Linked DNA regions of Rhinolophus ferrumequinum. The protein of the gene in region 1 purifies or fractionates together with the protein of each later gene. This does not show direct contact. Links are inferred from orthologs where the notes say so. Each region holds a gene or a part of one and is shown on either strand. Other genes may lie near its edges. The genes, in order: NLRX1 and MAVS.

What was found.
Region 2: the proteins of NLRX1 (region 1) and MAVS purify together in Homo sapiens (affinity purification with western blotting; 4 studies listed by BioGRID and IntAct, with this or other methods). This does not show direct contact. The link is inferred for Rhinolophus ferrumequinum from reciprocal best matches to the Homo sapiens genes NLRX1 and MAVS.

The regions. Positions count from the first base shown.
Region 1 is NC_046294.1:88,412,562-88,429,028, forward strand, and holds the start of NLRX1 (NLR family member X1), read left to right. Parts: upstream 1-8,374; 5' UTR 8,375-8,514; coding exon 8,515-8,835; intron 8,836-10,561; exon of another isoform or gene 10,562-10,616; coding exon of another isoform or gene 10,617-10,686; intron 10,687-10,735; coding exon 10,736-10,778; intron 10,779-11,240; coding exon 11,241-11,310; intron 11,311-11,773; coding exon 11,774-11,862; intron 11,863-12,413; coding exon 12,414-13,033; intron 13,034-13,434; coding exon 13,435-14,256; intron 14,257-16,467. Other genes in the region: ABCG4 (ATP-binding cassette sub-family G member 4), read left to right, coding at 500-598, 834-1,002, 1,099-1,199, 2,336-2,494, 2,647-2,765, 2,918-3,118, 3,280-3,367.
Region 2 is NC_046306.1:25,766,547-25,782,896, reverse strand, and holds the start of MAVS (mitochondrial antiviral-signaling protein), read right to left. Parts: upstream 8,280-16,350; 5' UTR 8,181-8,279; intron 6,153-8,180; exon of another isoform or gene 5,906-6,152; intron 4,988-5,905; 5' UTR 4,921-4,987; coding exon 4,804-4,920; intron 3,278-4,803; coding exon 3,103-3,277; intron 1,919-3,102; coding exon 1,746-1,918; intron 1,039-1,745; coding exon 882-1,038; intron 1-881.

The DNA.
Region 1 (16,467 bases):
GATCATCAGGTAAAACTCTTTGCACTGTAGCTCGTTGTAGCCAGCATTTGTTCAGTGCCAGTTTTCTCCCTTAAATGAGACACTGTAACCCTTACAAATCAGAAGCATTATTTTGTTCTCATTGTTAAATAATACTATTATGAAACTGGTGGCATAAAGGTATTATACCCTTAGGATAAATGTTTTTTGATGGATTAAAGAGAAGAAGAGAAGTGACTTATCTACTAGTAGCCCCCCTAGATACCCTAGACAGACTCCCTCTCTGTCTCCTCCTTCCCAAGTTTTAACCCCTCATTCTGTGTCTGTCTGAATCTCGCTCTGATTCATACCCTTAAGGCCAGCTTCCAGGTACACAACTCAATGGTGGAGACTTCTCCTTCAGTAGACCTTGAGGACCCCAGCCGGGGGGAAGGGCTCAGGGGTTTTCCCACTCAGTGGGATGGGTGCGCAGTGCGTGGGTCTGTGTGCAGGCTCACCTGATCCAATTTCCTCTCCCCAGGAAGTGGATCCCATTGAAAGCCACACCTTTGCCACCAGTACCCTCACACAGTTCTGCATCCTCTTCAAAAGGACCTTCTTGTCCATCCTCAGGGACACGGTGAGGCATCAAGTTGGGGAAGAGGGAGCTGGCATAGATCTAGCCTTTTGAGGCATAGGATCTCAGCGATAGGAATGGGGATGGGGTCCCTCCCCCAGGAATCCCCCACCCTCCCTCCCAGGGCACCTATGGGTCTATGTGCCTGTGAGGCCAGCTCCAGGTCCCTGCCCCAGTGTGTCTGTCTATCTCTTTTCTGTGACCGGTCCCCTCTCTGCGTGATGACCTCATCACACAGGTCCTAACCCACCTGCGATTTGTGTCCCACGTGGTGATTGGTGTGCTCATTGGTCTCCTCTACCTGCACATCGGCGACGATGCCAGCAAGGTCTTCAACAACACCGGCTGCCTCTTCTTCTCCATGCTGTTCCTCATGTTCGCTGCCCTTATGCCAACTGTGCTCACCTGTGAGCTGAGCTTCCCCGGGCAGGGACCGGGATGCTGGGGCACGGGGTAGGAGCCAGGGTGTCAGCCAGGTATGCCTAATTGGCCTGTGTCCTCAGTCCCTTTAGAGATGGCTGTCTTCATGAGGGAGCATCTCAACTACTGGTACAGCCTCAAAGCGTATTACCTGGCCAAGACCATGGCCGATGTGCCCTTCCAGGTGAGCCTTTTCCTGGCACCTGCCTACTGCCTCCCTCCTGTCTTGCTCCCTCCATCCTTTCTTGCTTGCCTCCCTCAGCCTTGTCACCAGTCATTCTTTCCTTTCTTTCCACTCACTTAGCAAATAGGTACTGAGTACCTACCATGCACCAAGCTATGTACCAAGCACTAGGGACACAGCAGTGAACAAAACAGATATAGTCTTGACCTTATGAAACTTATGTTCTAGTGGAAACAACTGATTGGACAAAGAGAAAATGATGAAAATAATAACCCTACAAATGACTCTGTAAATCTTATTTGAAGCAGTAGAGAATAGTGTAGGCTCTGGAATCTTAGTGCTACTTACTTGTTAGCTGCAAGATGTTGGGCAAGTCACCTAATGTCTCTTTGCTTCAGTGTCCTCATCTATACAATGGAACAACGATAGTATCTACCTTCGGAATGTTTGTGAGAACTAAATGAGTTAATACATTTAAAGTACTTAGAATGGTGCTTGACACATACTAAAGTGCCCAATAAATGTTAGCTGTTTTGGGTTGTTCTTATTGCCACTACCACCCTGTTCCAAGCACTAGGGCCCTTGTGCAAATTAGAAAAAGGTGCTTCTTGCTCAGGGTGGACGTTGCACTGTGCCAGGGTGCATGACTTAGTGAGAAGAGCACAGCTGGATCTCAGCCTCTGGCTGCCGCTTGCTTGGGTATCCTTGTGCAGGGAACAACCTGCACGCCAAACGTAGTAGGCTTGGTCCCTGCCCTCCAGGAGTTGGAGTTGATAGCTCATAGGGGGACAAAACTCATATATAGAGTTAATTAATTAACAATACAAGGAATAAGCTGGTCCATATGGGAAGGGCTTTAGGAGCTCAGAGGATGGAGAATTCACCAGGCTTGCGGTGGTCAGAGTGGGCCTAATGGAGAGGTGAGACTGGAAGATGAATGAGGTTCATATGGCCAGTGAGGAAGGGGACACGTGCACCTGGGGTGGAGGACCGCATGAACAAGAATGTAGAGGCAGGCCTCGGCACGGGCGCTCTAGGAGTAGCTGCTCTAGAGGCTCCTGTCCAGGCACAGTGGGGGTCTTTGTTGTTGTGCCTCTGGCTTGTCGCCCACTGCCCAGGCCTGTGACACTCCCCAGGTGGCGTGCCCAGTTGTGTACTGCAGCATCGTGTACTGGATGACAGGCCAGCCAGCTGAGACCAGCCGCTTCCTGCTCTTCTCAGCCCTGGCCACCGCCACTGCCTTGGTGGCCCAGTCTTTGGGGCTGCTGATTGGAGCTGCCTCCAACTCCCTACAGGTGGGACGGCTGGCGGTGGGGCCTCCGAGAGGGGAGGAAGCAGGGCTGACAGAAGGAGAGGAAGAGATCTGTGGGAACCCTGGGGCTGCCCCAGTCCTGAGTCTGTCCTGGTCACCTCTGTGATGGCCCGGACCCCTTCCCTTCCCCTCCAGGTGGCCACATTTGTGGGCCCAGTTACCGCCATCCCTGTCCTCTTGTTCTCCGGTTTCTTTGTCAGCTTCAAGACCATCCCCACTTACCTGCAATGGAGCTCCTACCTCTCCTACGTCAGGTCAGTGCAGCTTCCCTGGCCATCTGCCCCTGCTCCTCCCTGCAGCAGGCCATGCCCCAGGGATGAGAGAGTTGCATCTGAGTTCTAGCAGTTTACCCAGGGCGCAGTGACCCTCTGCTCTGTATCCTGTTCTGATGCTTCTGCTTGCCTAGGTATGGCTTTGAGGGTGTGATTCTAACCATCTACGGCATGGAGAGAGGACAATTGACCTGCTTAGAGGAGCGCTGCCCTTTCCGGGAGCCAGACAGTATCCTCCGAGCGCTGGATGTGGAGGGTGCCAAGCTCTACATGGACTTCTTGGTCTTGGGCATCTTCTTCCTGGCCCTGCGGCTGTTGGCATACCTTGTGCTCCGGTACCGGGTCAAATCAGAGAGATAGAGATTCACCCTGGCCTGTGCCCCAGCCCCCACAGCAGGAAGCTCCCAGCCCCAGCCCTTTGGGACTGTTTTAACCTTGTCGACTTGGGCACTGGTTGCTGGTACAGCCGCCCTCCCCTCTCTTGGCTCCTTCACAGGCTGACTGTCAGACTGCGCTCCCAGCCGTGGCCCTGGGAGTGGGGGCTCCAGCCCTCTGTGCTGTGCCCAGGAGTCTTCCCAAGTTGATGTGGTTTGTGGCTTTCTCCCTTCTCTCTCCAACATCTGCATGCAAAGACCACTAGGAGGTTATCACCCTCCTTCCTGCCCTCTGCCAACCTCCTCCGTTATCTGCCTAGGAGCCCCAGGCTCTCCAGGCCCCCACATACAACTGACCAAAGTGGCCCCCTCTGGGAGTTCCCACCACACAAGTGTTTGTAAATTGGGCTATTACAAGGTTGGGGTTTCCGGGCTGGGCCCTGGTGGGGTCCCCTGAAAGTCCCATTTGGACATTGCAATGGAGTAGGGGAGGACTCTGGAAGTCTCTCCCTCCTCCTCACCTTCTCCCCACCCCCACACCCTGTCTGATTTGGCCAATCTGCTGGGACAGAAGCTGGGTTTTCTGTCTGGGTCATCCCTTCCAATTCTGGGGATTGGAGAGGCCTGGGGCTGTGGGATGCCCCCTCTCCCTCCCCATCACCTTTTGGTGGGGGTAGGGCCTGGTGGCACCTCTGCAATAATGTCGGTGTTTCTTTCCCACCTGCCACTGGAATTAGAGAATGCACTTTATTCTCGGGGGTGAGTGAGGGAAGAACCAAGCCTCCTTTCTCGCTGCTCCTGCCGCATGGTCCGGTCCTGCAGTGCTCCTTCCCCTCTCTGGGATTACAGGCACATACATGAGAATAAGCAATCTCAGCCCTACACACTCTCACTGTCCCCTGTAGCTCAGAGGAAGAGTGATGGTAGTGGTGGTGGGTGCTGGAGGGGGGCAGTGCTAACCTCCTCCTGGGGGTCCCCGCTTTGACAGTAAGGATTAAGGTGGTACTGCCCAGGGCATCTTCCAGATCTGCAGGTGTCTACTCCCCCCCCCCCCCCGTTTTTGCTCTCTCCCAAACCCGGGGTGGCACAGGGTCCTAGCTCCCTGGAGTTCAGGACCTAACACAAGCACAAGCATGGGCATAAGTTGGCCTTGGCCACTGCCACCCCATGGCCCTTCTTTTGTGTGTTAAGCTGGCATTCTCATTCCTCCACCCCTTCCTCAGCCACTTGCTACTCATTTAAACTCCTGCCCATGTCTCTCTATCCCCTTCCCATCAGCCAAGATGGCCCCTGGGCACGCCCTGGGCAGCATACCCTGGGCACCATGGTGACAAACACACCTGGGGCATGTCTGGCTTTCCTGGTTGGTACACGTCCATTCAACCTCTGATTTCTCCTTCCCCCGGGGCTCTTTTCCACCTTATTCCTGGGCACATACCTCTATACCTTCCCTCTCCGACACAGAGTCTTCCCATCACACTGAATGCCAGTTGTATTTGTGGGATTTCACTCATTATTAATAAAACCTATATTTATACAGTATGAAGTGTGTAAATGTATGTGGGTCTGGCACCTGGTCCCATGGGCTGTGAGGGGCTCTTCAATACACTTGGCAAGAAGTCTGTGAGCTTTAGGGAGCCTGTGGCAGGGGAGGGTAAGTCCTATGAATATGTCAAGCTAGTGCAATTATGTATCATGCTTTACATCTTATAAATGCTTCATGTTTATTAACTAAGGGGAGTGTCATGCCACCCCTGCATTATCCCTCATGACAACCCATTTTGCAGATGAGAGAACTGAGACTTGGGTTGAGTCACTTGTCCAAGCATCCTTAGCTAATGGAGGTGAAACCAAGCTGAAGAGTCTGGAGGCAGAAGTCTTCATTCTTTTTTTTAAAACTTTTATTTATTTTAGGTGTGGTTTTCCAGGACCCATCAGCTCCAAGTCATGTAGTTGTTTCAATCTAGTTGTGGAGGGCGCAGCTCACAGTGGCCCATGAGGGGATCAAACTGGCAACCTTGTTGTTAAGAGCACCGCCCTCTAACCAACTGAGCTAAACCGGCCACCCCAGACTCTTCATTCTTGACATCAGCCACTGACACCGTTCCTGGTGGATCTGCAAGCTGTGTGTATGTGTGTGTCCTGTGTCTGTTCATGGGTGTGTTCTTACCTGAGTGTTACATGACTTTCTCCTCAGAATTCATTAAGCCCTGGTTGTTTCGCATCCAGCACGACGAGGGTTGTGGGGAGCGAGGAGGGCGGCGCAGGGTTAAGAAAAGACAGTAGCCATGAATAGAGTGCAAGTGGAGGCCAAAGGACCAGCAGCCTCTTGGTCTGGGCTGTGGCACCTAATCGGGCCTCGCATCCGCTTTTATTAGTTAGGTGGGGAAGTTAAGGAAATAAAGGTGTCAATCTCAAGATCTGTGAATTCCATACACCATAATAGGAAACTGATTCAAGCCAAGCACCCTTGCCTGCAGGCAGCTGGGCCTTAAGTCTCAACTTCCCCAAGGGACAAAGCCTATATGCGTGTGAATAGATGGAGAGCACACCATTGAATGTCTTCCCCTGCAGGTTGTGGGAAGGAATGCAGCCACAGAGGCTGAGGCTTTTCTTAGCCTGGGGAAGGTGGGGGCTGTGCCCACCTCTATGAACCTGTGGGTTCTCCTGTTGGTCCCCACTCGACTGTGCCTGGCTTTAGTTGTCCCCCACCATTGGGGAATCTTGCTCGTCATTGGCTGACCAGCCATCTTTTTGGGGCCAAACGGAGACATGAGGTGCAAACACAAAGGTTTAGCAAAGTCCCTGAAAGGATCTGTCTCACAGACTCTCCTTTCTTTGGGGGCAAGTACAAGGAAACAAATGGTTAGGCTGCTGCGTGGCGAAAGGTTGTGCCTATGGGGCAGGGGTGTAGGGTGTGGGGTTAGTCATGAAGGGCAATGAGAAGTAGGAAAAACCCTGCAACCTAAGTCCTAGGATGAGAGTGGCAGGGGCCTCCTTAGCTCACCCTAGCTTTCCCCTTTTCTTCCTCTCTTCTTTCCTACCAGGGCCACGATTACCAGGGCCAAGCCATTGGCCACCAGGACTACAGATGGGTCTGGTGCCCTAAAGTTTAGAGTAGGCAATTATCCAGAAGTCCTTGAGGGCTGGTGGCAGGATGATGCAAGAAGCAGCACACTGTCTCACCTTTTTCCCTTCTGATCCTGAAACTTGGAGACTGAAGGAAGGGATTGGCATCAACCTTGCCAGCTGCCTGGAACACTCCAGTTGTGCCACATGCAGAGCTAAGTGCCCTGGACTAGATTAGGGTCCAATCTATGACTGATTGGGTGCTTGTCTGGAGATGGACTAACTTTGTTTCTAATGGTGGTTGGGGATAGGAGTGAGAAGTAGAAAGAAGTCCAGCTCCTGGAATTCTAGCTAGTTTTAGGGGGCATTCTGGGTGCCACCTTCTGCCTGCAGGGATACCAGTATGTGGCTCCTAATGGTGGCACAAAATCCCACCATTAGATGGTCTTTCTTAAGATTCTTCATCTTTACTCTTTCCCTTTTAAAATGCCAACACTATCCTGAAAGACTGAGAATTTATAAATTCACACATTTGTAAGTTCCCTTGGCAGCTAAGGAGATGACCATCCAATCTGGAACTAGCAAGGGCCATTCAGGCACAGAGAACATTTGTAGAGTGGCTCACATATTTTCCAAGAGAGCTCTTTTTATTCTTAGAGCAACCCCATGAGGCTGCAGGATGAGTATTATCATTTCCTCCTTTTACAGAGAAGGAAACCAAAGCTTGGATAAGTTGACTTGAACAAGCTCTCAAGATATGGTGCTCTTGGCACTGTGAAGCACCTGTGATTTCTCCCACCAGTCCCACCAACCTGCAGAGTGGGGTATAAATGCCCCCACCCATCCAAGCAGGTTTTGAAATGGGCCTACTTGGCCTGAGTGCTGACCTTCCTGGACGCAGATCATCTTTTCCAACAGAACCATCTCTGTATCAGGGCCTGTGCAAGGTGTTGGAGGGCAGAGTGACCAAGACTGTTCTCCATGCGATGACTCTACAGCACCTGGCACCCGATCCTGAGGACAAACGACAGAGTACATGCCCACAGCATGACTGACAGTACTTCAGTCTGCAAGAGGCTAGCCAAATTATATGTTATTAATAAAGCTTACATGACTATCATACCTGCTGGGGTTGGGGGTGGGTGGGAGAGGGGAACCTTGCTCTGAGCTGTGTCCGGTAACCGCAGCTGCCTTGCATGACTAGGTAAGTGGGGTGAAGCTATAGGAGTCACCCCAAGCCTAAAATGTCACCCCTGAGACCACATTCATAGGGTTGCTCTATTTTTCTCCTACCATCCCTTTGTACTCCCTTTTCAGAATGTCTCTTAAAATGCAAATTTGCCATTTTCTCTGCTGCCTGGAATGCCTTTCTCTTCCCTGACTTATTTCTTAAAACCCATTTCAAATGTCACCTCCTCTGCCAGAGGCAGTTAGTAACTTCCTCCCCCAGCCTTTCCTAAGCCTTCTGTCTGCCTCTGAAGTACCATCATTTGGGACCCCTGGAGGAGAGCTGATATAGCCAGGTCCCTGAATGCCTTGTTCTGTTTGCTCGATACTATCCAATACCACGTGATCAGTGAATGAACAAATGTATCAGTGAAATACCAATACTGTCTTCAGTCTGAATGGAGGGTAGAGATCACACAGCCCTCTTCCCAGCGCTGCCCCGAGGAACTCTATGCATTCCCTACTGCACACCTCTGCTCAGTCAGTGCACATTGCACACCTATGTTTGCATGTAGGGGCATGCCCTGGCTGTGGATGTGGGTGGCTTCTCCAGCGGCTACATTGGCTGTGGGTGTGCCCTGCATGGAAGCAGAGGGATGTGAGTGGGAGCTTTGAGGACCAGGAAGCCCCAGGGCTAGGCCATAATTGGGTGTCAGACAAGAAGAGCAGGTTGGGGTGGGAGCTGTTTCTCAGCCCCCATCCTTCCTCTTTCCGTGGCCAAAGTGACCAGAAGCAGTACACAGAGGTCTGGGGTATGGAAAGAGCCAGGTACAGAAGGAAGGACCCAAGAAGGCCTTGACTCAGATCTCTGTCAGGAGGTAGGCTGCAGAGTTGAAGAAGCAAGCAGAGAGAAGAATGAATACCTGAGGGACGGTGGGTGCCTCAAGGGGGCCCAGGGTGAGGTAGGAAGACCCAGGCCCAGGATTCCTGTTCTGGTACTTCCGCTTCCTCACTGCATCAACCTGCGAGGGTCATTTCACCTTTCCAAGCTGCAGTTCCTCCATCTGTAAAATGGGCATAACGACAAGCCCCGTTCAGGAGGTGGTCAGCGAGGTAACTGGATGGGACTGGCGTTTGATAACCTGCAGAGGGCAGTCTTAGAGGCGGGGCCCGGCCGACTGGAGGCTGTACGCGCGGGGGGCGGGAGCAATGCAGGAGCGGATGGGGAAGAAGTCCCCACCCCAAGCCTGCTCTACCCGGCCCCCGGGCCCTGTTGCTCTTCCCTTTCTCCTAGGACCCCGAGCGCCTGGGCTCGTCCTTTCCGGTGCCTGCTGCCGGGGTCGGATGCGAGGGCGGCCAGGCAAGAAGCGCCGCGCCGGAGCCTCTGGGAACAAGCGGGAGACGCCGGCGGGCGAGGGACTCCAGGGCTTGGGCAGCCGCGGGTAAAGGCCTAGCCAGCTGGGTCTCCCCTTGTCCCCCGCCGGGCCTGGCAGAGTGGGGACGGGGCAGGGCGGATGGTGGGGGGTGGGGGGTGCGGGGTGCTGCGCAAGTGCTGCTGGGAGTTCGCGGCCTGGGACGAGTAGGACGCAGCTGGTCCGCTGAGTGGTGGTCTTTCTGGCAGGCTCTCCCCTCAGGGTCTGAAGCACAGTGGAGCTAGGAGAGCAGTTTGGGACGCAGTTTGGGGGGAGGAGCGCTGGACAAGTGGGAGCACAGCCCCTGTACGTTTCCTGCTGTGTCTCCTTTTCTCACTGCCCTGGAGACCTGGGGTGAGAATTTGTCTTCACCACCACTCCACCCCTCCGAGAGTCCCATCTTGAGCCAGTGGCTCTGGATCTGATTTCATCACACCGAGCGAATTTCCCCAACCTTTCTCAGCTTTCCATGGCCCTCTCTTTAATCCTTCTCCAGTCCCTAGGACTCCTGCTCTGAGTCCCAGATGGCCCCATCCACTGGTTAGCCCTGGTGGCAGATGGGCCCAGCGCAGCCAGTTCTCCCTAAGTGTGCCCGGCCCCTAAGCACCCAAATTTCTAGAGACTATGTGCCAAATAGCAGCAGCCTCCATTTAAGGGAGCTCAGAGGGATCAGGAAAGACTTCCCAGGAGAGAGGGCCTTTGAGCATGTCTTAAAGGATTGGGTAGGATTCTGACGGGAGAATGGTCATTCCAATCTGAAGAAAGCATATGAACAAAGTTAGGAAAGCACAAGCAAGAATTCAGTGAATCTGGCGAATGAGATGTGGGTCAGGACAAACTCAGAAATAATAGTTTGTGTGAGCCAGCTGTTTGGACTCTACTACATGTAACCTAGGATTTTAGGGGGGTGATTGGTGGCTGGGATGAAGGCTTGGAATGGGATGAGACCAAAGACAGAGGCCAATAAGGAGAAGGGGGTCTCTGGAAGTCTGCAGAGGATCTGAGTTAGCACAGGGACAGACGGGACGCTGCAGTAGGAACAGGCAGGCAACGCCCTGGGAGGAGGAATCAGCCTGTTTCAACTGTGAAGGAGGGAGGAAGAATTGAAGACAGAGGTCAGATTTCTAAACATGTGATTTGGAAGATTTGCAGGGAAGTACCTAAAAGGGGAAAGGAATGATGAGTTCAGTTTTGTATGTGTGAAGCTTGAAGCATGGGCAGGATATTCATATGGAGATATCAAGTAGGAAGTTCATTCATTTATTATTTATGCCAGCCTCAGAGGCAGCTTTTACATAGAAGATAAAATTATAAAAACTGTTAAAACTCAGCTAAAAGGAACTGATAGCTAGGGGAAAATATGCAGAAGGGAGTGGATAATTGTTACTGGAAAATGTTGGCTCAGAAAAGCCACTGAAAATGAACATAGGACTCATCTGAGCTTGCTGGCAGCCAAGCAAAAAAAAAAAAGAGGACACTAAAATAAAGCAGTTCACTAGGCTGGAACTCAGGAGAAAGGCCTTCTTAAAGCCTCAAGGGAAAGGCAATAGGTGGTAGGAGGTAAAATGGGATCCCTCAGGTGGGGGATATGGGAGAAGGAGGACATCTGAAGGCCAGGCCGGGGCGTTGGCACTGTTGACATTTAAGGAAAGTCTGATGCTCTCCTGAGGAGAAAGACCCTTCCTTGGCCTGCCCCGGGAGGTGAGGGTGGGACGCTGGGAGGGTGTGGTCCATTCACACCAATTTTCTTGCAGGGGAATAGGACACGTGGTAGTGTGCCAGGTCCCCTGGGGTCTGACCTCCTCCCTACAATGAGGTGGAGCCGCCCTTTGCCCAGGACCTTATGGGGCCCTGGTCTGGGAAGAGCACTCCAGCCAGCAGGTAAGCAGGAAGCAGGGGTTTCTGTTTCTCCCTCTCCCTTCCTCTTTAGAGCCCAGATGGTGCCTCCAACAGGGCAGGGATCCAGCCACCAGGTGTGCTAGTCTCAACTCTGTGATTCACGAGTTGTTGGCCTTGGGCAGGTTACCTCAGCTCCCTGAGCTTCCTTTTTCCCATCTCAAAATAAGGGAGTCAGGCTAGATGATCTCTTGAGAGTCCCTGTAGCTATGTAAGTCCAGGAATATTTGTCTGATTTCATCTTGCACTCAACAAATATTTTTTGAGTGCCTGCTATGTGCTAGACCCGTGCTAAGTTGTAAGTATAGCACGGTGAACAAAAACAGATGTGATCCTGCTCGCATGATGGGCAGGAAATGAATGTTAATCAGATAATCACACAATAAGATATAAAATTGCATAATAACTGCTACAAAGGGGTGATACATGATGCCATGAGAGCAAATAATGGGGAATTCGATGTAGACATGGGGTCTAGGTATTGGTGGGGAAATCTGGTTGGGATCGCGATGCTATTTCTTCCTCTCCTTTCTCTGTAGATGAACATATCCCCTTCCTGATCCACTGGACTTGGGCCCTTAAAGGGGATTGTACCTTTGGTCCCCATAGGTGAGGCTTTGGTGTCATACCTTAGACCCATCTGGGCATAGCAGAATAGCCTGGGAAGAGTCAGGACTTAGAGAGAGCTTGATCTCCTGGGGAGAGGTTGGTCTTCTAGAGGTGGGGAGGGTATAGAGTCAGCTACCAGGCTTAAGAGGAAGTTGGCTTACATCATCTACAGTACACGTCACAGTGGTTAGCCAGTGGGAGGGTCTGTGGAAAGTGGGTGGAGTCTGGCAGTGACCAGCCTGAGTTCCAGACAGGCAATGGTGGGGGACTGGCGGGCTAGAGGGGAGACCTCGGTCCCTGGGAGGAGTGTGAGAGACAGACAGTCTTGACTTGGGTGTCCAGGGTTGGGTCTGGATCTCAGGAAGCCAGAAGTCCATCAATCCAGACAGGCCTGGACTCTGAGCCTGTGCAGAGGCTGAGCCCAGGAGCCAAGCCCCAGCTCATGTCTTCTCCTTGCTCCCAGGGTCCTTATACGCCACCGTGGAAGCTCAGTGGGCAGTGGTCCCCCATCAGGGAGGCATGAGCAGTTATTCCGGAGCACCTCTGCAGCTGGTAAAGAGATTGGTTCCTCAGTTGTCTGAGAAGAGGGGCTGGCTGGGATCCAGTGAGGGGTGTGGTGGGGAGAGGGGCCTGGAGGGAGAAGCGGGCAGGAAGGAGGAGGCACAGAGGACCCACTGTCATCATCTATTAATGGGCCCACCTTCCCTTTCCCTATCATCCATCTGTCCATGTATCCCTTCCTGCACCACTCATGCAGTGCACGCTATGTCCAAAGCCCTGCGAGGAATGTGCCATCCCTACCTTCAACAAACTGGGTCTAGAAGTCAGGTGAAGATTGCACACAGATACATCTGTGAAACCAGTCAGCCCAGGTTCAGCATCACTCATCCTGTGGCTCCCCACTTTCTGCCTCAGGTGTTCCAGACTTTCTGGACATTGTATTTTCTGAGGGAGACTGGTGTGCCCAGCTCCATTCTGGGCCCCAGCATCTTCTGGTGCTGTCTTAACTCTGCAGCCTGACCCTCCTACCACCCTGACTGGCTCTAAGCTCCTATATCTCCTGGCCCCTTTCTCTGGCCCATTCCCTTTGCCTTCCCATCCAGAAGCCATCCAGCGGCACCGCCGGAACCTGGCCGAGTGGTTCAGCCGGCTACCCAGGGAAGAGCGCCAATTTGGCCCGACCTTTGCACTAGACACCATCCATGTGGATCCTGTGATTCGCGAGAGCACCCCCGATGAGCTGCTTCGCCCACCTTCAGAGCTGGCTCTGGAGCATCAGCTGCCCCCGGCCAGGCTCCCCACACTCGCCCTGTCTCAACTCTTTGACCCAGATGCCTGTGGGCACCGGGTGCAGACAGTGGTTCTGTATGGGACAGTGGGCACAGGCAAGAGCACATTGGTGCGCAAGATGGTCTTGGACTGGTGTTATGGGCGGCTGCCAGCCTTTGAGCTGCTCATCCCCTTCTCCTGTGAGGACCTGTCATCCCTGGGTCCTACCCCAGCCAGCTTGTGCCAACTTGTGGCCCAGCGCTACACACCCCTGAAGGAGATTCTGCCCTTGATGGCCACCACTGGGTCTCGCCTACTCTTTGTGCTCCATGGCTTAGAGCATCTCAACCTTGACTTCCGGCTGGCAGGCACAGGGCTTTGCAGTGATCCTGAGAAGCCAGAGGCACCAGCTGCCATCATAGTCAATCTGCTGCGCAAATACATGCTGCCTGAGGTAGGTAGCCCCCTGCCCCACTGTGCCACCTCTGCCCTGATTTGCCATCTACGGATTTTTGTGTCCTGAGCGTGCATGTTTATTGGGTAGGAATATAGGCCCTGGGCTAGTTCAAACTCTGGCCCCTCCGCTTCTAGATGTGTGTCTTTGAGCAAGTCACTAACTTCCCCAAACTTCTGTTTCCTTCTATCCTTGAATTGTGCTGATGAAGTGAGATAACTGCCTATAAAATGCTTGGCACATTGCCTTGGCTCATAGTAGGCGCTCAGTAGTTGTTAATTGTAATTATTATGGTTTATCATCACCTTCCTCCTTGGACACTCAATCTTCAGGTGTTCCGTGGGGAGTAAGGCAATCAGGATATCATGGTCTTTCTTAACCCTCAACCATGCTCTTCCCAGGCCAGCATTCTGGTGACCACCCGTCCCTCTGCCATTGGCCGCATCCCCAGCAAATATGTGGGCCGCTATGGCGAGATCTGTGGCTTCTCTGATACCAACCTGCAGAAGCTCTATTTCCAGCTACGCCTCAACCAGCCAGACTGTGGGCACAGTGCTGGGGGTGTGGGTGTCTCCGCCACACCAGCTCAGCGTGACAACCTGGTAGAGATGCTCTCTAGGAACCTGGAAGGGCACCACCAGATCGCTGCTGCCTGCTTCCTGCCCTCCTATTGCTGGCTTGTCTGTGCCACCTTGCACTTCCTGCATGCCCCCACGCCAGTCGGACAGACCCTCACAAGCATCTATACCAGCTTCCTGCGTCTAAACTTCAATGGGGAGATGCTGGACAGCACTGACCCCTCTAAGTTGTCCCTGATGGCCTATGCAGCCCGAACCATGGGCAAGTTGGCCTATGAGGGGGTGTCTTCACGCAAGACCTACTTCTCTGAAGAGGATGTCCATGGCTGCCTGGAAGCTGGCATCAGGACAGAAGAGGAGTTTCAGCTGCTGCATGTCTTCCGCCGGGATGCCCTGAGATTTTTTCTGGCCCCATGTGTGGAGCCAGGGCACCTGGGCACCTTCGTGTTTACTGTGCCTGCCATGCAGGAATACCTTGCTGCCCTCTACATTGTTCTAGGTTTGCGTAAGACAACTCTGCAGCGGGTGGGCAAGGAAGTGGCTGAGCTCGTGGGCCGTGTTGGGGAGGACGTCAGCCTGGTCTTGGGCATCGTAGCCAAGCTGCTGCCCCTGCGGGCTCTGCCTCTGCTCTTCAACTTGCTTAAGGTAACATCCCCAGGACCCTAGGCTGTCAGCTCCCTAATCCCCTTGCTCCTCTCCCAGTAGGAAACTGCTACTTCTTCTTGGCTCTGGTTTCAGATTTGGACAATTTGGCTTTTAATAGGATTGGGGCATAAGGAAGGGGGAGAGAGAAGCCACAAGGCTAGGGAAGGCTTGGAGGCTTGGGAAGGGAATTTGAGGGTGCAGGGACTTTAATAATAATCCTACAACCCTGAGATGATTTCCTTTTGCATCTCTCCTCCTAGTTTGTTGCTAAGAGGCAGGAGTCACTATAGTGCAGGGTCTGTCTTCTGCTTTGCAGGTCCTGACTCTCAATTGTATCTGTTCCCCCAGAAGTGATTAGACTCCAGGAGTGATGACTCATCTTAACTAAATCACGAGAGACAGGTTTATAAAGCAGATGCCATTTTATTGATTTATACCAAGACGATAAATGCATTGGTAATTGGCTTAGGACAGTCTGTCCAGGGTGCAGGTCCACTCCAGAAACCAAATTACAGACTTGAGAACTGTGCTGTGAGCAGGCCGGATGTGCTGTTTTTTTGGGGAAGAAGGATCCACTCTCTGCTGATGTCTGCTTGGGGCCTCGTAAATGAAATACCGTAACGATCCCTTTTATAGATGAGGGAGCTGAGGCGCACAGAGGCTAAGGAACTTTTCTAAGGTCACTTAGATAGTTCATAGAATAGCTGGGATCTGAGTCCAGGTTTCATGATGCTGAATCCTGGTTTACTGCTACTTTGTGGATTTTCTGTTAAGCTGTGGTGACTTGCTAGGTAATCCTTGTCCTCTGTAGGAATATTTTAGTAACTGGTCTCGAGAAGGCAGAGCCCTGGTCAGTGCTGACAAAATTTCAACAAGTTTTCCTTTTTATAGGCAGCAAAGCATAAGGGTTAAGAACAGGGATTCAGGGGAGACAACCCAGATGGCGCAGTAGGTAAGCGTTGTGTTTACCTTCTCTCACAACCACACCAAAATTACAGCTAATGTACATAACAACCATTATTGAGAATCGCCTAAAATCAAGTTGAACTGAAGCCTTTCAACTAAGGACATGCAGAAGAAGCCACCTCCAGACTGGTAGGAAGGTCAGAGACGCAGAATGGACTGGCCCCACACTCACGTGGGACCTTTAAAGATCGGGAGGGCTATTTCAGCTATAGGGGTCCCACCCTCACCCCCTAGAGGAGCGAGAGATCCCAGCCCAGGGTTCCAGTGCTGGGGAGAGAAGTCCCCATAAATTTTGGTTGTGAAAACCAGTGGACATTGTGACTTGAGTGCGCTGCACTCTCAGGTGCTCCTCTTAAGGGACTGCGCACGGACTTACCCACCAATGGAATCATGTGCTCTGAGCTCCAGCGCTGGGGCAACAGCTGGAAAGGTGGCAGGGACAGATGGTGGGGAATTGAATTGTCTGGCTTGGCATAGGGGCTGGAGAGGTGGCTTTCTCCTGGACGGAGGAACTGGTGGAAGCCATTGTTTCATTGTTGAGCCCTCCCTCTTCCCAGCATGCCAACACGGGCGGCCGCCATTTTTGAGTCTCCACCATTCATGCCCTGCCAAGGGGATTTGAAACCTGGCCCCGCCCAACTTTCGGGCACACCCAGGCTGCTTTCAGTGGCTTTCTCGTGCAGACTGTCTGCTTTGGCTCAAGCTGCAGACTTTCCTAGGGTTTCTCAAAGTTTCACGGAGCCCAGACAAGCAGCATCTGGCTTGAGTGTGTCCTGTACCTTTGGCTGAGCAGCCCTAAGCTAGCACTAGCGGTAGCTGGCCTTGGTTCGTGGCTTGGCCTCGCAAAACGCTTCCAAGCACAGCATGGTTGCAGACATCTGCAGAATTTCTTTCTGGCTCCTGCTAGGTGGCCCTGGGTGGGGCACAGGCTGTGTCTGAAGTAGACCTACAGTGGATCCCCTCCAAGGTGGTCCTGGGGCTGGCACCCCCAGTGCCCAGCTTCAAAACGAGCTGGAGCATCACCCAGCCGCCTCCAAGTACAATACACACAACGGGCAGATTGGGCAGGCACCAGGGTCCAGCTGAGGCAGATCCTGCTCTGTAGGATCAGCCCCTGCACAACAACCCTTCACTGTAACAAAGGACAGTCCTCACAACCAGTGAGCCCAAAGGTCTGTCCCTCACATTGATGTGCAATTATCAACCAAGGCTCAACTACAAGAGGAGGGCACACACATCCCACAC
Region 2 (16,350 bases), on another chromosome or scaffold:
ATGCCAGCCTAGGGAGTCACAGTAGACAACTCTATATTCCTGAGGGGGAGTGTCGAGGTCTGGTGTGGGGTTCCAGGCCCTTGGCTGATGAAGACCATACTTCCTCTGGGGGCTGAGCAGTTTTAGTGCTTTCCTGGCGGCCAGCAACCCCTTTAGGGTAGAACAGCGCCTAAGGGCTCCCCTGCCAGCAGCAGGCCCAGCCCTGCACTCTCCCTTCTTCACTGTCCGCCAGGTGCTGGTAGATCTCTACAGACTCACCCTGGTAGAGCACAGCAGTGGCCCAATTCTCTTCTTCTACCTGTATCCACGGCCTCTGCAATGTTACTTTGTCAGCTCTCTCACTGAGGGATGGAATCTGTTTCCCTCCTCCTTGACTCTGGGCTGGCTTTGTGCCTTGCTTTGGCCCACAGAGTAAGGCAGGAGGAACACTCACTCCACCTATGCCCTAGGAACCTTCCCTTCCTCAGAACTCTGCTCAGCTGCCAAGAAACGGGTTTGTCTGCTGGAGGATGACAGACTCATGGAAGAGAACTAAGGTGCCCAACCAATAGCCATCAGCAAAGCTTATAGGTACAGTAGTGTACACAAGAGGGATTTCAGCCAAGATCTGAAGAAGTATCCAGCGGAACCAGCCCAAATTACTGACCCACAGAATCATGAGCCAAATTAATAATCATAGTTTAAGCTACTAAATTTTGGGGGACGTTTGTTAACACAGCAAATACTAACCGATACACTTTTTAAGGAATTGGGCTGCTCTATGGGCTGAACTCCCTTTATTCCCACCCTTGCCTCCTGTTCAAGGAAGCCAGAGGGGCAACTCTAGTCCTCACCCTCACTGAGAGGTCAGAGAGGCCCTATAACTCCAGATTCACACATACCTGCTGTGTGGGTACTGCCCAGTTCTGTGTCCTGCTCCGAAGGCCCACTGGAGGTCAGAGGACTGAGGGCTGCCATGTCAGAGGAGGGCTCCACGGGGCCACCGGGCCTGCTCAGTATAGCCCCAGAGCTGGATGTCTGTGGGGCCTTCTTTGAGCTCTGCAAGAGGGAAAATGTGGATAAGGCAGATGCTTCTCCCAGGAGCTGGCAAAGGGCAGCTTATACTTGTGGGGCAGCTTCTGTAGGCCTGAGCCGACACCGTGGAGCACAGGAAACAAGGACGCCCTTGCCTTGGCTTTGGTCATTGTCATATCCTCTGACTACAGGTGACTTTGAACCTACCTCATAGAAAACACGCACACCATCCCCTGGAGAGTCCCTAACCATCTGTCTGGCCCTATAGAAAGGTGCCCTTCTCTAAGGTCATTGCACAGACCCCTTTCTTGGGCTTCAAGTCCATGGTTTGGAGTCTCCGCACAATCACTGCCAACTCATCATATCCCACCACTAGAATCAGTCATCTTTCCCCCAAACTTCACTTTCCTGGCAATAAATACAGCTCCACCACCCACCCGCAAGCCCATCACCTCCTGCTCCATCACCCCCCCCATCTGGTCAACATCTCACATGCACCATTGCAAAGACCTCAAGCTGTGACCTCACAGCTGGTTGACAAGAGGGCTGGGGCTGCCACAGGGGGCAGCTCTGATCAACAGACTGAGAAAGAGCCTCACTGGGGGAGCCCTGGGGTTCTGAGCAGAGATTAGGTACGATTTGTCGGGGGCAGGAAGGGGCTTCTGGACGATTCGGTGAGCAGAAGTGGGCAGACAGCAACAGAGAATACAGGGTCGATTATGAGGACGCACCTCCCCCAGGGACTCTGGTGACTGGGTGTCTTGAACAGGCATGGGGTAACTTGGATCCTCGTCTCTGTCGCTGTTGTTGGAGGCACTGGGGGCCACAGCAGGTGTGGAGCGCCCTGGAACCTCAGCAGGAACTGACGGTGACTCCAGTGGGGCAGGAGGGCATTTCTGGTTCACTGGAAAACAAAGATATAGTGAAGCCAAGGAGGAATCAGGGGGGTTCCCAGTGATAAGAGAGGCCTCGGTGCTCTTGTACCCCCAGGGCCATGGCTATTGGCCCCCCACAGCTCCAAAAGCTGTCCTGATATGAGATGTACTCCTCAGAGGAGACAAGCTTCACTGAGGGAAGGACAAAAAGAGGAAGGCAGAGCGAAGGGGGAGGGGTGCCTCACTGGCCTCTCACCATCCAGACTAGCTCAGCAGTCACCACTTCTGTCCCTGGGTGTTCTGAGACCCAGTGGCTTTCTCCTCCTCCTTGTGAGTGTCTGTCACCACTAACTGACCCCTGACCTGATCCTGCCACCTCAGCCCTTCTCCTTTGCCCCCACCACAGCCGTTTGTATTCAGGGGATCACTGTTAATCTCCAAGTGAAGAGACAAGTTTGGAAAGAAGGGAGGGAGGGAGGGAAGGAAGGAAGGTAGAGATAAAAGAAGACAAGCAGGGAATGTTCTAAGGCTGTATCTCTAGGCAGGGCCTCAGGAGTTGTCTCTATTCTGAAATATAAATAAAGCTGGTTTGAGTTTTCTTCCTGTCTCAGCCCCTCAGACCTTGACCTCACAAAATCCCCCTCTGGGCACTTGGCCTGGCAGGGAGCATTGAGGGAAGCTGAGGGGTAACTGGGGAGCTGGGGTGGAGAACCTAGAAGGCTTTAAGGAAAACCAGGGGAGTGGAAGAGACAAAGGGAAAGGAAGGAAGAAACCCATGGGAATGAAAAAGGAGACAGTGAAGGGAGAGAAAAAGGAGAGAGCAGTGGAGAGAGAAAAGGTGAACTGAGGAGGAAGTGAGAAAAGGAATGGGAGGCAAACGTCACAGACACAGAAATGAGAGGAGGCTCCATTTGCTGAGTACTTGACATGCCAGCGTCCCGTGGTATCCACCGCAGCCCTGTGAGGTAGATGTTGCCATGAGCCCTGTTTTGCAGAGAAGACTGAGGCTCAGGGAAATTAAGGGACCTGGCAAAGGGACACAGCTATTAAGTAGCTACGCTGGGATGTATAGTCAGGTTTGTCTACTGCCCAGGAGTGATGGGAGGGAGGGTGACAGAGGAAGGGAGGAGATACAAGGGCAAGGGGACAAGGAGAGGGGAGGCTAGGGGAACAGACAAGGGTTCCAAGAGGAGGGCCAGGGCAGGAGGCTTACAGGGCAGGTTGCTCTGGTAGACATGGGCCACTTCGTCAGCGAGACCAACCAGCTCACAAGCCTTCAGTCCCCGGATGAGGTATTCCACCCAGCCAGTCCGGCGCTGAAGGCTGTTGAAGAGTTCCCAGATGGTGTTCTGGTTCCCTCTGCGGTCGTAGCAGGCCCGCAGTAGGTCCTGGAAGACACAGCCCATCTCCTTGCTCAAGCCAGGTGGCCCTGGCCCCTTCCCCACTCAGGAGGGGCACCAAGAGGAGGCAGCCGCCTGAAACTGGGTCAGAGCCCAGGACAAGGCTAGGGTTTGAATCCAAGTTTAAAGGCAGCTAGCTATCAGGAAAGAGGCTCTTACTGTGTCCCAGGCTCTCTTGCTCAGGGTTTTGTGTGAATTATCTTATTTAATGCAACTATTACTCCTACTCTGCTGATGGGGAAACTGCGGCTTCGCAGAAGTAAGGCAGCAAAGATCCTACAGCAGTGGGGCAGGAATCCGAACCCAGTTAGTCTGATGCCAAAGCCTAGGGTTTGCCCCCAAGGCGAAAGAAAGGGTTTGGATTGGCAAAAGAGAAAAAGGTATGTAGGAAACAGTAGATGAGGGAGATATAAAAGAAAAGAGAGGGGGTCAACTATAAGAAACAGGGAGCGGGGTGGCCGGTTAGCTCAGTTGGTTAGAGCGCTGTGCTCTTAACAACAAGGTTGCCTGTTCGATCCCCACATGGGCCACTGTGAGCTGCGCCCTCCACAACTAGATTGAAACAACTACTTGACTTGGAGCTCATGGGTCCTGGAAAAACACACTTAAAATAAATAAAGGTTAAAAAAAAAAAAAAGAAAGAAAGAAAGAAACAGGGAGGATGAGGGACTGGGGAGATTCTGAGACAATGAAATAGTTGCAGAGCTTTTAAATCTACCTGAATCCCTGCATACAAACAAGCAACCAGATAGCAGAAACAAAACCCACAGAAAATACAGAGGGTGCCAAAAAAACGTATACACATTTTAAGAAAGGAAAAAAACTGTATTAAAATTCTAATACTCAATATATACTGATAACAAAAGATGAATACAAGTCATGTGTGTAATCTTTTCGGCACTCCCGGTATTTACTGAAGAACAAGGTGTTGAGGTATCCCTATAAACCCCAAAATATAAGGGGAAGGGGCCAAACCCCATCAGCCACAGACCCACATGCTACCAGCATATGTGGGGAGGAAGCAGAGAACAGAGGGGTTCAATCTGCGAACAGCAAAAACTGGGAAGGGTCTGGCTGGCTTCACGAGGTGCCCACAGCAAGTTCTGAGGCGGCTTGGGGTGGTCTGGCACCCATACACTCTCAAAACTGAGCCCTGGGATCCCTACCAGGACAGGGTCTCACAACAAGGAGAATGAAATAAAAACTGAGTCGGAACAAGGACAAGAGAGATGAAGAAAAAGAAGGTGCCAATAGAAGTGGGTGAGGGGCCCGGAGCCTGGAAACCTCAGGCAGCCAGCGCCATATTGTTGAGCATTACATCAAAACGACACCAGAGGGAGCTCAGGAAAGTTGGATAGGCTACCCTGAACCATAATTCTGAAAGTGAGAGAAGCCACCAGGGCAGGAAGTGGGATACAGACAAGATGGAAGGAAGGAGTCGGCTCTGGCTTCGGTGAAGCTCTGAATTCCACAGCCCTGCCCCCAGTCTGGCTACCTGACATGCCCTGGCTCACCTGGTCACTTGGTGTGAGGCAAGACAGGTGAGGCAGAATCTCCAGAACATGAATACGGTCAAAATTTCGGTAATGATAGCGGATATACTGGAAAGTCTTGTCCTCGGCAAACGTCATCACTGTTCAGGCTCTGTAGTGACCGAGGGCTCTGGCCCATGGATGGACTGAGACAGAGGATAAATGACTGGAAGAAAACAGATCACACATGGCAACCGGGTTGGGAGTGGGGTTGGGCAAAAGGCAGTTCTTTCTGGTCTCTGGAATTTTGGCTTTTCTCTTTAATCAACGTAGTTCATGGTTGCCTGAGTCCCAGAGGCCCTCGAGGAATTTGCTTAAAAACAAATTGATGACCGAAAAAAAAGAAAAATCAGACCCAGAAGTCTTAGGGCCCATTTCTGCCCTGCAAGTTGTTCAGTATTGGGGGGGGTCTGGCTTCCCACCATTGTCCTCAGACCTGTATGTGCCCCTAGCCACTCACAGCAAGAAGACTCCACTTAGAAGTGCTGCTTCTTTGAGGTACACTAGGAAAAAAAAGAAGCCCAACATAATAACAGGATCCATCCTACTTTAATGGTGAAGGAAATGAAGTATTAAGAAATAAAGGGGGCTTGCTTGTTAGTGCAAGAGCAAAGAACTGAGGTCTTCAGGATTCAGGATCAGATTCTTTCCAGAACACGACTGCAGGGCCACCATGAAAGCAGTTTGCTACATACACGTTCTTAGGGTAGGAGGCTGAGTTCCACTGTCCTGAACTCACTATTGACCTGGGGCAAGTTACCCGTCTTTTCCAGGCTTGTCCTCACCCCTACAATGGGTCAGGGAGCTTGTTTTGACAATACAGTAGTTCGGCCTGATGAGCTTGAAATTTATAAGCGCCTCAAATACAAGCAAGTACCGCCAGTTGCTTATGGAGCACTTACAATTTGCAAGTACATGCATTTGTTTGTGTGTTGTTTATTTGCCTCCCCTCTGGGGAGAGCTGCAGGGAATAAGAGAAATGAGATTTCTGCCATCATCCAGTTTATATTCTACTGGGGTGGGACAGATAACAAATCAGTAAACACATACATAAATAAGAATCCCAGAGAGTAATAAACATTACCAAGAAAACAAAGCGGGGTAACGAAACAGAAGCCCTGGAGAAGGGCGTGCTGCTTGCACTGGGATGGTCAGGGAAGACTTCCTGAATTGGCTGCATTTGAGTTGTGCCGTTCGTTCGGTGTTTCAGGCAGAGGCACTAGTGAGAAGTCCTAAAGTGGAAACCAGCTCAGCGTGTCTGAAGAATAGAAAGCAGGTCTCAGCGCGTCTGAAGAATAGAAAGCAGGTCGCTGTGGTCCAGGTTTAGAAAGCTAGGGGGAGGGGTGGAGATCAAGAAAGTTGGGAGGAGCTGTTACAAAGAGTGTTACAGGAAAGGGTGTTGGGTTTCATTTGGAGGGTTCTGAACAGGGAGGGGAGGGAGAGGATCTATGTTAAAGACCTCTCTGGTGATTGTGAGGACCTTGGACTATGGAGACGCCAGGATAGAAACAAGGAAACAAGTCAGGAGGCCACAGCAGGGCACAGACAAATGTACGGCTGGGGTGGTAACCAGTGGTGGAGAGAGAGAGGTGGTTGGATTCCTGGTGTTTTGTGGGTTTGGGAGGTGAGGAAAGGAGAAAAATCAAGGATGACTCTTTGGGCGCTGGGTGGATGGATGGTGCTATTTAGCCAGTCAGAGAATCCAGGGGAGGAGCAGAGGTGCACAGGGAACTCCAGAGCTCCATTTTGAATAAGTGAAGCTTGAAATGCTATTGAATGTCCAAGTGGGTTTTCAGGGAGGGAAGGGGGCACAGAGAGGGCCAGGCTAGAGTAGAAACGAGGGGTCAGGCTTGAGTGAGACCTCTAGGAGACAGCGCTGCAGAATGCCCAAAAGCTGCTGAGGCCGCCAGTCTCTTGCCAAATGGGAAACCGGGCAGCAGTCCTGTCTCCTGGCTTCACAGCTTCAAGTTGCATGACTTGCTTTGCCAACCACCAGATGCTACATTCCTACTGGGACAAGTGCTAATGATAGAGGTCAAGAGGATTAGGGAGGGAGGGCCGGGGTTCCTGGGAGATTTCAGGAGATGAGCAAAGAATAACTGTGGTAGCTAAAGACCCTTTTCTCCTTCCCTCCCATGGCATCCAGGGAGGCATCAGGAGAGAGTCAGGTGATAACATTTTTCTGCATCCCAGCCTCAGCCCTTAAGGCACAGAGTTTGGGGGGCAATGGGTTATGATATGATCCCACCAAAAAGAAAAGAAGCCCATAGTTGTTCACATTTATTGAGGATCCACTATAGGCAGAAACTTATTAAATAAGTTTCTCTCATTTAATCCTTGCCACAAATTCATGAGAGAAGTGATGCCAAGGTGCACAGCTGACCAGTGGCCCTGACAGGATTTGAACCCAGGACTTGATGTCTCACTGCAGCTCACCATACACTTTGCAGGTCATAGAAGCCCCTGCAGCAAGTGAAACTCAAACAACCCCTGCCTTCAAGTTCAGGAAAGGGCCAAGGTCACCATCTGAGTGAGGGGGGTCACTGGGTGAGGGTGCACCTGGGAGGATGCAACATTTAGTCCTGAACCGAACCGTGCCCTCCACAGCAGCGCGGTTCTCAGGTCGCTGACTCTCCTTCCAGATGTTTTTGAGGCTCCACAGCATCTATACGGGGAATGTCGTTTGGGATTTTGGGGTTTGTTGTTGTTTTTTTCAATGTTTTCCTGGCACCTCTTTCCGATCTCAGAGATGGGCAGCGAAGGTTCCGGATCCACTCGGCGAGGAGTTTCCGACCCGACTGTCCCAGGGGTCTGAGTGCTCTTGATGAATATCCACCCACGCGGGAAAGGCGAGGCCTCACAGCCCCATAGACCGAGGTCCACGGAGGACAGGGAGGCTGTTCTTCTGAGCAGGTGTCACCACCGAAAACTGTCAAAACCTAGGGGAGGGCGGTAACCTCCACCCCGAGGCACGGCCAAGGCCACAGGAGGTTGGCGCACTAGAGCTAGGCCTTGCCCGGGGGTCACCCTGGGCCTGAGCAGGGCAGCGGGAGGGCCTCAGCGGCCGGCGCCCGTTTCCTTCCTTTCCAACCTTCCCCCGCAGCCCAAGCAGACGCTCCTTGCCCCCCACTTCCCGACCCCCTGGGTGCCCTCGCTGTCCCAAACTCCAAGTGCCTTAGGACTCTCTCTTCCCGAGCCCCGCGCACCCTGTCCCCTCCCCGGCCTCCCGCGCGCCCCGGACCTCCTGAACTCTGGCGGATTCCAAGTCCCATTTGGCTCCTGACGCCGCGGGCCACCTCCCCGAAAGGCGTCTGTACGCCCTGAGCCCAGAGGACCAGGCGCGTGGGCTGCGATCTTACCTCGGGTAGCCACGACGCGGCGACCTGCGGACAGCCCCGACTGCCACCGGCCGCCAGAACCCTCCCCCGCCAGGGCGGGGCCATTGGTCGCACGGCGGGGGCCGGGCTTCGCGGTCCGCGCAGGCCGCTGGGAGACTGCGGGTGGCACTAGGCCTAGATTTAGAGGCCAGGACGCTCCGGGCGGACCTACGTTCCTGCAGGGGAGCAAAGGAGCAAATTATTGTCTTTCCCTGTTCGTCTCAGGCAGCTTTCAGGGGAAGTCCAGGGTCTAGTTAAAAACCAAGTGGGCTCCAGACCTCCGAGTCTGTGCCCTGTTGAGTTCCCAAACTTTCTACACAAAGCAATCCCTCCTCCTGCCCAGTGATTTTAGGGGGGAGAGGCTTTATGTGGTTTGCTCTTGGAAGCCCAGGGTCTAGCACACAGTACTCAACAAACGTGCCCAGCCAGGTGAGTGCCCAGCCAGATGAGTGCCCAGCCAGGCGACGCGCGTGCTGGGCCTGAGAAAGCAGGATCCGAGTGCAGGGCGTAGGTACCAAGGCTGCTTACCTGGCTCCCTCAGTGTGGGCCATGAGTGCTGTGTGAGAAAGGCCTCTCCACCCAAAGGTAAGGGGCGGGTGACTTCCCGCAGTGCTTGCCAGCCGCCTGTCCTTCCTCTGATGGGGCACAGGACACTCACAGGGGCAGAAGCTGGCAATTACTGAGGGCCCCCTGTGTTCCAGGTACAGGCTTCAAGTTCCTATCTTAGGGCTCTTTAAATGCTCTCATAATAATGAGATAGAAGTTTATTTTTTCTGTTTTAAAGAGAGACTTAAAGCTTTGGGGAAAGGTTTGGCTATTCTTACTAAAGTTTAAACATGCCAGCCGTCTCACTCAGCAACCACTCCTACCTATACATCCACCTAGAAACACTCACAATAGATAATGTTCATAGTAACTTTATTCACAATAGGCACACTCTGGAAACAACCCAAGGGTCCATCAGCAGGAGAATGGAGAGACAAACTCTGGTGTGCTCACACCATGGAATAATATACAACAGTAAAAAAGAATAAGCTATTGATACACACAACTTGCCTGAATCTCACCAGTATGAATGGGCACCATGGCTAACCAAGCCAAGCACAGAAAGTTCATGCTGTCTGTTCCAAGTCACAAGGTAAGGGTTGAAAACAGGCAAAACTCATCTACATAAATAGAAATCATTATCACTAGCTACCTCTAGGGATGTTGAGGGGTGGGGTACAAGGGAGCCTTCCGGTGGGATGGAAATATCCTGTGTCTTGATATGAGTGTTGGGTACATGGGCTTGTGCATACGTAAAAATGCATCAGCTGTACACTTAAGATTGTTACTGCAACTTTAAAAGGAAAGACATCTGAGAGGTTAAGAGGTTTGGCCTAGATCACATGCAAATGCCTGAATACATGCCTGTCTCCAAAGCCAGAGCTCCCAAACTGAATTGTAGGAGGGATGCTTTTTCAGATGATAATTGATTACTTGGAAACCTTGTGGATATTTCACAACATTCAGTATTTACAAAATGTTAATATTACACCTGAACTCAACTAACTGTAATAAAGCCACATCTGCCTTGTTTAGCCAAGACAGCGTTAACATTAATTGGTTCAAGAATTACTCCTGCCTGCTACCCACCCCAAATCCAGTGACCTCATATCTGATTCTTGCAGGAAGAGTGTTGGAAGTGCAGTGAATTGCTTCTAAATGTAGTTGCCACCCTGTTTTTGTTGGACTTCATAGGGCATTAAAAAAAAAAAATACAGCTTCCTCAAAAACACAATGAGATACTGTCTTAGTCCATTTGAGCTGCTATAACAAAAATCCATAGACTGGGTGGCTTAATCAACAAACATTTATTTCTGAGTTCTGGAAAGTTGGGAAGTCCAAGATCAAGATGCTGACGGATTTGGTGTCTGATAAGGGCCCACTTTCTGGTTCATAGACATAATCCTCACATGGCAGAAGAAGCAAGGTAGCTCTCTGGGGTCTTTAGAAGAGCACTAATTCCACTGATAAAGGCTTCACCCTTATGACCTAATCACCTCCCAAAGACCCCCACCTCTAAATACCACTACGTTGGGGATTAGGTTTCAATATATGAATTGTGGGGTTCGGGGGACAAAAACATTCAGTCTATAGGTATCAACCATTGGGGTGGCTATTATTAAAACAACCAGAAAATAACAAGTGTTTGGCAAGGATGTGGAGAAATTGGAACCCTTGTACATTGCTGGTGGGAATGCAAAATGGTGAGACTGCTGTGGAAAACAATATGGTGGTTCCTTAAAAAATTAGAACTAGAACTACATCCGATCCAGCAATTCCACTCCTGGATACATACCCAAAGAACTGAAAGCAGAGACTGGAACAGATATTTGTACATTCATGTGCATAGTAGCATATTCACAACAGTCAAAAGGTAGAAGCAACCCAAATGTCTATCAATGAATGAAAGGATAAACAAAATATGCTATATACATACAATGGAATATCATTCAGCCCTTAAAAGGGAAGGAAATTCAAACACATGCTATAACACGGATGAACTTTGAAGACATTATGCTAAGTGAAATAAGCCAGTCACAAAAGGAAAAATACTAAATGATTCTACTTACGAGTATATGAGGTACCTAGAGTAGTCAAATTCATAAAGATAGAAAGTAGAATGGTGGTTGCAATGGAGAATAGAGAATTGGTATCGAACGGGTAGAGTTTCAGTTGAGGACAATGAAAAAGTTCTGTGGATGGACGGTGGTAATGAATGCACAACAAATGTACTTAATGCCACAGAACTGTACACTTGAAATGGTTAAAATTGTAAATTTTATGTATATTTTGCCACAATAAAAATTCTGACCTACTTGGTTTCCTGTCACCTTTATCAGGAAACCAAAGGAGGGCACAACCTCACATCTATGGTATACCTGCTAAAACTCATAGTCAAGAGGAAACATCAAACAAACTCAAAATGAGGGGCATTCAACAGCTGTCCTGTCCAATGCAGCAGCCATCTACCACATGTGACTATTATTTTAATTAAGTAGAATATAAGATTCAGTTCTTCAACCCCACTAGCCACATTTTAAATGTCATTTTTCATGTAGCTACTGGCTATCATATTGGACAGCACAGATGCAGAGCATTTCTATCATGGCAGAAAGTTCTTTTGGAGAGCTTTTTTTTAAAAAAAAAAGTTGTATTGGCCTTTCAAGCTTGGCATTTGGGTGGTGGGTCCCCCTGGCATGTTCAACATGAGTATGGAGACATGTTATTTCTGGTAGGGACCCATATATCCCGGCCACTGCCTGATGTTTGTCCACAAGGATTGCAAGGTGTTCAGATTCTGTAAATCCAAGTGTCATAAAAACTTTAAAAAGAAGCACAATCTGGGCTGGCCCGGTGGCTCAGGCAGTTGGAGCTCCATGCGTCTAACTCTGAAGTCTGCCAGTTCAATTCCCACATGGGCCAGTGGGCTCTCAACCACAAGGTTGCCAGTTCAACTCCTGCAAGGGATAGTGGGCTGCGCCCCCTGCAACTAGCAACAGCAACTGGACCTGGAGCTGAGCTGCACCCTCCCCAACTAAGACTGAAAGGACAACAATTTGAAGCTGAACGACACCCTCCACAACTAAGATTGAAAGGACAATAACTTGACTTGGAAAAAAAGTCCTGGAAGTACACACTGTTCCCCAATAAAGTCCTGTTCCCCTTCCCCAATAAAATCTTTAAAAAAGAAGAAGAAGAAGAAGAAGCACAATCCTCACACGTTCAGGTGGACTAAAGCATTCTGTAAAGCAGAAATGAACCTGTCAAGTACCAGCGAAAGTTGTGGAATAAAACTATTGATACAATGAAGAGCGCAAACAGAAATGCCAAGTGAAATTTGTAATGAACAGGTTGAAGAAAAATAAAGAACTACAGAAAGTTCAGGACATTAAAGAAGTCAAGCAAAACATTCATCTCATTCGGCCCCTTTTGCATGCCAAGGAAAGCATCTGGAAAACAAAATGGTACAGAAATTACAACAGGATGTGACATGAAAGTTGTTTCTGAAAATCTTAACTGTCTGTAACCATTCCTATGAGTGCATTGGAAAACCTCCGTTAGAGACTTAGAACATCTAAATTAGTTTTTTTACATAAGGTGACTCAAATGAAAAAGTGATTAAAAATACATCTCTTCTACATTGCTATCTGAAAAACATCAGATATTATGGATGCTAGATTGCATCTCAATGTTAAATCTTCACTGATAGATGTGTACTTACATAAATCATGAAAATTTTGTGAACACAGAAGTGAATCGTGGACATAAAATGGTCATGCCACTTGGATAATGGCACATTTATGTAATAACTAATGACAAAAATTCATGACTAGTGATATATAAAATTTTCTTTGCAGTAAAATAAAAAAAGTTGTATTGGATAGCGCTGATCTATAATGTCAAGGCCATAAAAGACAAGGAAAGACTGAGGAGCTATCCTAGATTAAAGGAGAATAAAAAGGTATAACAATTGAAAGCAGTGTGGGATCCTGTGTTGGACTCTGAAACAGAAGAAGACATCAGTGGGACAAATGAGCCTTACTAAGGCTTTTGGATTAGTTAATAATATTCTATCAGTATTAATTTTCTGGGATTGCATCCCACCCTATTTCATGAGTAGAATTCACTGATCATTGTCCATTTATTAATGGAAGGGCGAGTCTGGAGAGCAATCTATATGCCAGGCCACCTGCACCCCCGGGTGAGGGCTTTGGAGACCGCCTCCCTGGTAAAGTTCATCCCCAGGTGGCCAGTGTCTCCAGGCCAGTGCTCAAAGAGGGCTGTGGCTCATGTGGTTCACATGTGATGACTCAGCAATCGCCAGCTCACATTTCCCTCCAGAGAGCAAAGTCAGACTCAAAGATAGTGCCTGAGGGCCCCACGAAGGGATATGTTCTCATATCTGACTCCCTTCAGACCTCTCCAAGCCTGAAAAACAAAATATAAACCCTGCCTTTACAACCTCATTGCAAATAAGTTTTTAAACTGTTATTCTTTAAACTATTTTATATTTTCATACTGTCAGTTTTATTACAAAAAAAATATGCTCAATAAAGCTGGGGGAAATTAATATATGCTTATATAGTTAATATGGGGGGAATAAACATGTTTAATAAAGAAAATAAAAATCCGTACTCATAATGCCACCATCCAAGAGAAACTGCTGGTGACACTCTGGTGTCTTTTCTCCAGTATTTTCTTTTCTATAAAGCAAGGCCTCTGAGTCCTCTGGCTTCTCAGAGTTCCCCTTGCCTTGACCAGACACATGAGATGATTCAAGCCATGATATGGGACATAACGGAGTCTGGTATGAGCCCTTACTTCTCAGGGGTCTCAGAACGAGGGGACTTGGACCATGTCAGATGGTGGGTCAGTCCCTGCTGCATCCGGTTCCCCAGGGCTGTCCAGCCCCTGTGGTCAGCATGGACTCCTCATCAGCCTCAGGGCATTGTGTTGCTGGTCACCTGCCATTCAGGGGCTGCCATCCTGCTATTCCTGCCTGAGAACCACTGACATGAGTTACTTGGCAATAGACATTGAAATGGGGGGTTGGCAGGAAACAGGGAAATGAGCACATGGTCAGCGTTTACCTTCAAAGTAAGGTATCAGAGTTCCTAAAATTCACAGACCTCCCCCAACGCAGGAGACTTTTCCCTGGCCACCTCACTCCACGGCCCCAGCTTCCTACCATACTGCTGGTGCCCCTCTTGGTGTCTCTTGCTGTGGGGCCCCTCCCCTAGTATCTGGAGCTCGGTGCAAAAAAACAGAAACCACTGTAGGTATTTTGTGCATGGAAGAGTTTTGTTTCTTGAAGCATAATTTACATACCATAAAACACATCAATCTTAAGTGTGCAATTTGATTAATTTTTATCCAAGTAAATACCTGTGTAACTAGATCAAGATCTGGATTGTTTTCCGTCTCCCCAGAAAGTTCCCTTGTAATCTTTCTTTATCAATCTCCATCCCCAATCATTATTCTGATTTCATCAACATAGTTTAGTTTTACCTGTTTTTGAATTTAAGACAAATGGAATCGGATAATACATACTGTCTTCTCTCTAGTATCTTTCCTTCTTTACCCACTTCAGCTTTCTTTAATAGAGAATCAGAAGAAAGTATATGACCTTCCTATAAAACCAAATAAACATGAGCTCAAACAGATCAGGAAAAAAGACAAAGCAAAACAAAATATTTTACTCAGTTTTTGTTATTGTTGCAATTATTCAGTTATTTTATTTATGTTACAGAAATCTGTGAGGAGGGTGAAAAACTTTAGTCAAAAAGGGGTAAGAAGTCTATATGAAACTCATCTGTTTTTTATTCCCCCTTTCTTCCACCACTCTCCACCCCCCACTCCGGTTCAAGCAGTCGTTTCTCAGTCTAGTTGTGTAGGACGTAGCTCCCTGGCCCATGCTGGTATGAGCCTTGCGCTCCTCGCCGACAGAGGCAGTCGGTTTCCAGTCATGGGTCGGCCGCTCACAGCAGCTCACGGCAGCTCTCGCTGGCTGGCTGGCTGCCTGCCGCTCACGATGGCTGCCGGCCACCCATGGAAGCACACAGCAGGCCCCACAGCAGCACACGGCAGCTCAAGCTAACCTCCGGGTGCTCAGGGCAGCCCAGCTCCAAGCAGTCCAGCTCCAGGGAGAGCTGTTGTTCACAATCTTAGCTGTAGAGGGCGCAGCTCACTGACCCATGTGAGAATCGAACCTGCGACCTCCGTGTTAGGATTTCGGTGTTCCAACAACCTGAGCCACCAGGCAGGCCTGAAACTCATCTATTTTTATACCATTTAAATCTTTAAGATTATTAAGACTATTGCCAGAGGTCTTAATAATTAAAACTCTTTAAAAAGTCAATTATTAAGAATGTAAGCATCTCACAAGATGTTTCTTCTACTGTCACACTACACTGTTGCTGAAGCCAAGGGTAGAGTTTTTTCTATACCAACGCATTCTATTTAAATCACATTTCTGAATCCACTTGAGAATAAAACTACTGTTCAAGGCATTTTCCAGACTCCACCTCTTCCAGAAGGTGATGTAGAGCCACATTGCAAGGGTGTGAATAAAAGGGTGGGATGAAAAGTCAGGGCAATCTATCACACTAGCCCATAGCACCCACCATACCTCCCACTCCCAGAACCATCCAGCAAATCCCAAGCACCCTATTACTTTTTTGTGCAAAGCAACAAGAGTTTCTGTGTCTTACCTTTTCTGTTCCTTCATTTTGTCCTGTTTCCTGGGTTCCTTATTTTCCAAATCTTCTAATTCATTTCTAATGTAAGCAATATTTTTATTTTCTGAGAATTTGTTCTTGTTCTGTTGTTCCTCTCTTTGCTTTATGGATGTGATACCGTCCTGAATCTAATTACTGAGAATAGTAATTAAGAGAGCCTTTTTAAAAATAATTCTCTTGAGGCAAGCTCTGTACAACAGGGTTGCCAATTCGATTCTCACATGGGCCAGTGAGCTGCGCCCTCCACAACTAGACTGAAGACAATGAGCTGCCGCTGAGCTTCTAGAAGGGTGGCCAATGGCTCAGTTGGTTAGAGCGTGAGCTCTCAACAACAACAAGGTTGCCGGTTCAATTCCCACATGAGATGGTGGGCTGCGCCCCTTGCAACTAAGAATTGAAACGGCTACTGGACTTAGAGCTGAGCTGTGCCCTCCACAACTAGATTGAAGGACAATGATTTGGAGCTGATGGGCCCTGAAGAAGCACACTGTTCCCCAAAATTCCCCAATAAAAATTTAAAAAAAAAAGAATTTTCTTATGTCCCCTGCATGGTTTTCCTCTGAAACCATTGTTTGCTGTTTGCTTATTTAGTTTCTCTTTTTGTGTGGCAGGCTTCCTCCAAATGTCTGGTGAACTTTGTTCACGTTAAGAATGAGGCAATAAAAAGCACTGGGGAAGTTTTGTGCACATTTCTGGCTTGTGGCTTGCTTTTGGGGGGACCAGGTGGGTACCTGCCTGCAGAATAGCCTTTACAGGCCAAAACACGAAAGTTTCATACATGGGGCTGTTCTGTTTCTTTAAAGCATGGGTGCTTAACCTAGGTCAGACCAGTGATTCCCTGTGTAGTAAAGTCCACAGGCCAGAACAAT